Nothobranchius furzeri: one gene and its partner. Each later gene encodes a partner of the first gene's protein in a complex. Links are inferred from orthologs where the notes say so. Each region holds a gene or a part of one and is shown on either strand. Other genes may lie near its edges.

Region 1 (2,928 bases):
GCTGCTGAGTTTCGCCTCTGGCGGACTGCTGGGTGACGCCTTCCTCCACCTCATCCCTCACGCTTTGGGTAGGAACTTTGAAGGCTATTTATGCTGAATCTGTCTCAAACATTTGAAATGAAACAATAACAGAACTTTTAGTTTGTCTTCTTGAATGATTACGTTTGATTCCTCCCGGTGTGTTTTCCACACAGAACCCCACTCTCATCATGGAGATGAAGGCCACTCGCACGCTAGCGAGCAATCACACGGCCACGGTCACTCCCACGGTACGTAGATGCTTCACAACCAGACCATAAAAACACGGATCAGGATCCTAACCTGACCCTCTCCCTCCACAGGAGCCGCCCACGGTCACATGATGTCTGTAGGTCTGTGGGTTCTCGGTGGGATCATCGCCTTCCTGGCGGTTGAGAAGTTTGTCCGTCTGCTGAAGGGAGGACACAGTCACGGGCATTCTCACTCGCAAGGTACACACACTTTTTTCTGGAAAACTCCTTTTTAAAATAAATCTGATTCAAGTGTTTTTGTCCTAATTTCAGTGTTTAACAGTTAGAATCAACTTTGTGTAAAACTATGAAAAAACAAGGTTTTTATCATTTTGAACAATAATTTATAGTTAGCCCCCCCCCCAATACCTCACATGATCACATGACTACAAACACCTGCTCTCTATGGGATGTTTGGGTTTTTGTTTTGCTGCTGTGGCCCCCAGACTCTGGACCTCTCTCCCCCTGAGCCTGAGATCAGTGGACTCAGTGGTCTCCTTTAAAAAGCAGCTGAAGACTCACTTGTTCAAGCTGGCTTTTGTTTGACCTTCTTCACCTCTCTCTCTTTACACCGAGGACACCGAAGCGCCGGGAGGCGAAGCACTCACGAAATTCGGCCGCTGCTCCTCAGTTCAGACCAGACGCTTGTTTCTCCGCTCCGGTCGAGGCGCGCCTCGTAGTTTCTTTTAACCACTTGGTGTCCTCCATTTCCTCTCCGCCTTTTCTCTGCTCTTTTCCTCGACACCCTAGCCTGGCAAGCCAGACTAAATAAATGTATTATTTAGTCTGGCCACGCTCCATTGACGGCTCTCAGTTGTGGGGCGGGTTCTACCGTTGTCTTTCAAATGATCTCCGCATGCTACTGGACAATGAATGTGACATACTCTTGTTTCACGCTGTTGCATCATCCCACCCACCAGGCATATAGAGTGCCCTGATTGACCCACAAAGCAGATAAAGCTCTGTGATTAGTTCACTAAGCAGATAGAGCACTATGATTGACCCACCATTATGGACCAATCACAGTTCTTTATGTGTTTGAAACCCCTCTAGAGAGCTGTGATTGGCTAGCCAGAGTCCTGGTAGGAGCTGCGGAGGTTCCAATGGAGCGTGCCTAGACCAAACTTTGCAAAGCAAGAATTTGGTCTAGTTCACTAGGCTATCGACACCCCCCTCCCCCTTGCTGTTTGTGTGTGTGTTTGTACGTGTGTGCGTGAACCAATGGTGTGAACCAGTTGTTAATAGCTGGCCTACGACTTTCTGCCGCTCTGTCCTGTTTGCTCTGGTTGAAAGACACCCAAAACCACACACCCTTCACGTGGACACACACACACACACACTCACACACACACACTCACACAAGTTCGCTGTGTGTGTGTGTGTGTTTGTGTGGTTTTTATGCAGTGTCTGTTTACGAACACATTTGACTATTGCGGAATTGTATTTTGAAATGCTTTATTTTGTTAAATTTACCGGCCTGCCTCTCATGTCTAGGTTTGACTTCCTGCCAGAATTGACGCGGTTCACCCGCGGCTCGCGAAAAAAATAGAGCAGACGCTGAAACGATTGCTGCACGGCGCGGGCTGGAACGCCGGCGTGCGGCGCTTCGGCGGCCCATGTGGTCTATAAAATAGGATAACCAGTCCCCGTTTCGCAGAGCTTCGGCGGCCGGTGTGTCCCCAACGTTATTCTGCTCTCCCCACCTATACCACCTTCCTCAGGATCCACTGATTTCCCTCTTTCCTATTCACTCTCTTTCTTAACATTCTTTTTAATCACAATTGTCTATTTTTTGCTCATTTTAAAAATATTTTTAACCATTTTCTAAATTCTTTTTTATATTTTTACATTTTTTGTTTTTGTGAAGCACCTCGTGATTTTTATCTTGAGAGGCGCTATAGAAATGATATTTTCTTCTTCTTCTTGTGTGGCCTCTAAAATAGCTTTAGAGGTGGCTTGCAATCTGTAATTAGGCCAGAAGATGTCGCTAAACTCAACACATCGAACTTGTTAGAGAGTCTTGTTAGGGACTTGTTAGAAATGAGTCTAATTTTCTGCTTTTATTCCATCAGCTGCTCCCAAGGAAAAGGACAGTGATGGAGAGAATGAGAAGGAAAAACAGAAGAAAGAAGAGAAAGGAAATAAAGTTGCAAAAGTGCCCAAAAAAGAGGAGAAAAAGAGCACAGGTGGGCGTGTTTATCGAACATGAAAGAGCTCCATCTACTGGTCAAACCATGAACTGCGTGTTTGTTTGGTGCAACTCGGTGGAAAACGGCTGAATGACCACATTTCTGTTTAATGCAGTTCGAGGAAAAAAAGTATCTTTATTACGTAACAATCCTTTTTTTTGTGACTCAAGTTTTGTTTTGTTTCCTTTAAATCAGACATCAAGGTGTCTGGTTACCTGAACCTGGCAGCCGACTTCACACATAATTTCACAGATGGCTTGGCGATCGGCGCGTCATTTCTAGTCGGACCAGCAGTGGGCGCTGTCACCACCCTGACCATCCTGCTGCATGAGGTCCCTCATGAGATTGGAGACTTTGCCATCCTGGTGCAGTCGGGCTGCACCAAAAGGAAGGTAACCGACGCCTCTGGATGGAAGTTTCTGAAGAACTTTAAAAAAAACAAAACTTAAAAGACTTTTTTTTTTTTTAAG
Region 2 (3,755 bases), on another chromosome or scaffold:
TTCCTAACACGGACCAGGGCAGTTTCTGTGCTGTGGGCTGAACGGAAACCGGACTGGAATTTTTCATACAGATTATGAGTAATGAGATGATTGTGGAGTTGGCGTGCTACAGTTTTTCCAGTATTTTAGCTAAGAACGGTATGTTGGAGATGGGTCTGTAACGGGACAAGATAGCAGCGTTTAGAGAGGGCTTTTTCAGACGGGGACGGACTATTGCAGTTTTGAGGGCTGAGGGAACCTGACCTGAGTGTAATGACTGGTTTATAATTGTAGTGATTAATGGACTGATGACTGTAATATTTGATTTGAACAGTTGTGTCGGGAGAGGGTCAAGGGGGCAGGTTGAGGTATTCATGCTTTTTATTGTTTTCTCCACCTCCGTCTGGGTGGCTGCTGAGAAATCAGAAAAGGTATTTATTGTATGTGGAAGGGTGGAGTCAAACGGATGCCGAACTGTTCGACTGATGGAGGATCGGACTGATGCCACCTTGTTGGTAAAAAAGTCCATGAACCTATTGCATTTATCTATGCTAGTGTCAGTATGTGGATTTGTAGGAGGGCTTAGCCGTGAATTTATGGTGTAGAATAGCTGCTTTGAGTTTCCAGCACTGTTTACGAATTTCTGTGAAAAATATTTTGACCTGGCGGCAGTGAGTGCTCTAGAGTATGTTCTTTGATGGTCCCGGTAGGCCAGTTTATGAACAAGCAACCCCTTGGAGGTAAACAGACGCTCCAGGGCACGGCCATTTGTTTTCATCTTGTGTAGTTCTGTTGTATACCATATACCATTATAGCATAGGAAAACCATATGTGCCTTACCTGGGTGTGAAATTTAATAAAACTGCCTTATTCTGCCCAGCTGTGTGCATCAGGTCTGTTTCTTTTCTAAAATAATGAAAACGGGTGAAAAACTGGTCCAAATCATGATCAGCTTTGACTTAATTATTGATTAAATTATACAAATTGAATCTGATGATGAGAGATGTGCTCTAACTTGTTAACAGCCTTAAACTGTTAAAGTGAAAACATAGGAAAGCCTAATAATTAAGTAATAAGATAACCCCAATAGCAAGGCAACAGATATAAAGTAGTGATAAAATGCAACAAGATTTATTACAAGTTCACATTTGACGTTTTTCAGGTTCTTTTATGAAAGAACCTGAAACTAGTTTGTTGCGAAACAAGAAAGGATGTTTGTTATAGCGATGCGTTCACATTTTCTTCAAAAAACTCCTCAAAATCTGGCTGTAATCTTAAAAACGCTTAGTGCGTGAAAACAGTAGCCAATCGTAGGAGAGCCCTTCCAGCCAATCAGAGGCGAGAATGGCGGGACCTTCCTTGGACACGCGCGCAGGACGCAGCGCGCGCAGGACGCGGAAGTGACTTTTGTTGTGGGCGGAAGCAGACCCGTGAGTTGTTTCTCTGCCCCTCCACGTCCGCTTCAGGTTGGTTGCTTTGTTGTTTTTCACCTCAGACGTGTTGTCTCCACCCGTCTGACTGCTGGTTGGACTTCCTGGACACAGCAGCCTGTCCTGCAAAGACTCTTATGTCCATATGTGTCCCCTGCAGCTGAGGGCGCTGGTTTTTGTGGCCTGGGTGGTGTTTTACATCACCTTCCTGCTGTCCTTCAGGAGGATGTGGAGCGGTAAGTACGTCCGCAGCCCCCTGGTCCGGTCCCTCTTCATGACCATGGTGAGCGACAGCGAGGAGGTTCCGGCGGCTGAGAAGCAGGAGGTAGGGAGGTCTTCCAAGTCCACTGAAGTGAGATGAAACTGCTGTGAAACCCTTAGATAAAATGTCCACAGTTAATGCCATGAAGCTTCATTAAAAACCCTCTTGTAGGTGATTTTAGAATATGGAAGAATGCCTTGCTCTTTTACCAGCTCTCCTCTTGACAAACTCCCATTTATATACATGTATTCTTTGTCTTTCGTCTTATCCCACTTATATCCCCGTATTCTGTTTTTTGCTGTTCATACTTCACTGTTTTTCTTATTTCTAACTGATAATTGACTACAAACCCCGGGATTGCAACCACGTTGGAGCCACTCTATAACATGTTATATTGCTTACATGTTCTGAAATGGCGTCGTCATATCTAAATATGATCAATAAAGTATACAAAGAAAAGGTGGAATTGACCACTTCAAGTTGCCGTAGTGTACTCGTTGTCATTGGCCGTGCTCGAGATGGGCCAGTTCTGCACAGATTAGATTACCGATGATCGGTGTGCAGTGCATGCCGGGTAGATTTGTGTCCGACTTGACGCCGACTTGCACTGATGTCATGCCTACGTAGGCAACGATAACCCCGTGAGATCAAGGCGGTTGCAGATGTTGGAGCCAGGCACTGCAGTTGCTCTCCACTGGTTGCTAAATCTGGCTCTCACCTGATCTAAGATCTGATTGGTTCCCATTCTGATCCGAACATCCGGTGGTAGAATGAGAAATGCTAGTTGGTCACATGTAGTCTGTAAATCATGTTACGTTGACGACGATTGACTACTTCATAGGGGGCCTAAGTCTCCTCCCTTTCCGATCAGCTCATGGGTCCCCGGAAGAACGAAACAGCTATTTTCTAATCCGCTTTGCTTCACGCCCTGGATCACACATGTTTTACTGCAATTTAAATGACGTACTTTGAGATTTATCAGCTTGTAAACGTTCGTAATTAGCATGACTATACACCAGAAATCGGTACGTTGCATATGTGACGTCACCACATAAGCTCCTCCCCCCTAGCATAGCTGCTACTTACCACATGACCAGATTTATGGCGGTTCTTTCCTCCTGTGGGAAGTTTGCTGAACTTACAGCCATTTTCCCTGTTTTCTCCGTGTCCGGTTCGATGACGTCACTTTCGTGAAGCGCATTTGTAGTCCTGGGCTTATTTTCACACAAAACCTAAAGTAACGTTTCCCCCGTTCGAAAATAAATGCGTTCTTGGGATCAAAATGTGTCTTTAAAGTTCACGGACATTACGTGTGAAATCCATGGCACAAAACAAGCAGAATTAGAAAATAGCATTTTTAACCCCATTGACTTGCATTCATTTTTTCATTCTTCCGGGGACCCGTGGTCCAGAGGTAGGGGGCGTGGCTTAGGCTCCCTATTCCCAACACACCGTTTTTTTAATGTTTTGAATTTGTTTTATATTTGAAATTCAATAAAAAGATATTTATTGACTTATTTAATTTATATTGCACACAGTGAGTGTTCAGTTGTCTTTCACAATCAGTGTGCTGCTAAAACGTATATAAATATCGGCCTTAATAATCGGCCATCGGCAACAAAACTCTTTAAAAATCGGCATCGGCCTTACAAGAAACCCCACATTGGTCGGCCTCTAGTCTGTTATTTACATAGAGACAGGTTTGTGACTTTCCATTTCCTTGGCCAGTGGTACCGGTGCTGCTCTAACCTGCTTGGAGAATCAGCACGACACGTTTTCGTTCAGAGTCACCTGGACTCGGACACTGAGGCTTTTCTAAGGCGCAGCAAGGAGAAGTCCAGCTGGCTGTTCACACAGCTCTATCACTCCCTCGTGTCGACGGTCCTCAACCCTCTGGTGTCGCGTACCTCCATCAATGGGTGAGTATGGATCGGGTCTCAATTAATAGCTGCTGTTCCTCCTTGTTCTCCATGTTCTTCTCTTTGTCTCAGGTTTTTGGGTCGGGGATCAATGTTTGTGTTCTCCAAAGACCAGTTTCACCAGCTGCTCCGGATTGGACCCGACTGGAGAGCTGAAAGGCTTCT

The links.
Region 2: the proteins of slc39a7 (region 1) and mettl9 are in contact, whole or in part, in a crystal structure (PDB 8GZE), measured with the Homo sapiens proteins. The link is inferred for Nothobranchius furzeri from reciprocal best matches to the Homo sapiens genes SLC39A7 and METTL9. Residues at the interface, in NP_001070984.1 of Homo sapiens: Gly65, His66, Thr67, His68, Glu69; in NP_057109.3 of Homo sapiens: Arg114, Thr115, Asn118, Arg123, Gly124, Met126, Met179, Asn210, Asp213, Arg214, Val241, His245, Tyr247, Glu249, Trp255, Tyr295, Leu296, Cys297, Glu298, Asp300, Tyr306, Val307, Leu308.

The regions. Positions count from the first base shown.
Region 1 is NC_091759.1:22,345,420-22,348,347, forward strand, and holds part of slc39a7 (zinc transporter Slc39a7), read left to right. Parts: coding exon 1-68; intron 69-194; coding exon 195-269; intron 270-341; coding exon 342-470; intron 471-2,341; coding exon 2,342-2,455; intron 2,456-2,653; coding exon 2,654-2,850; intron 2,851-2,928. UniProt on the Homo sapiens protein: Transports Zn(2+) from the endoplasmic reticulum (ER)/Golgi apparatus to the cytosol, playing an essential role in the regulation of cytosolic zinc levels.
Region 2 is NC_091756.1:2,151,380-2,155,134, forward strand, and holds the start of mettl9 (protein-L-histidine N-pros-methyltransferase), read left to right. Parts: upstream 1-1,454; 5' UTR 1,455-1,554; coding exon 1,555-1,734; intron 1,735-3,399; coding exon 3,400-3,590; intron 3,591-3,662; coding exon 3,663-3,755. UniProt on the Homo sapiens protein: Protein-histidine N-methyltransferase that specifically catalyzes 1-methylhistidine (pros-methylhistidine) methylation of target proteins.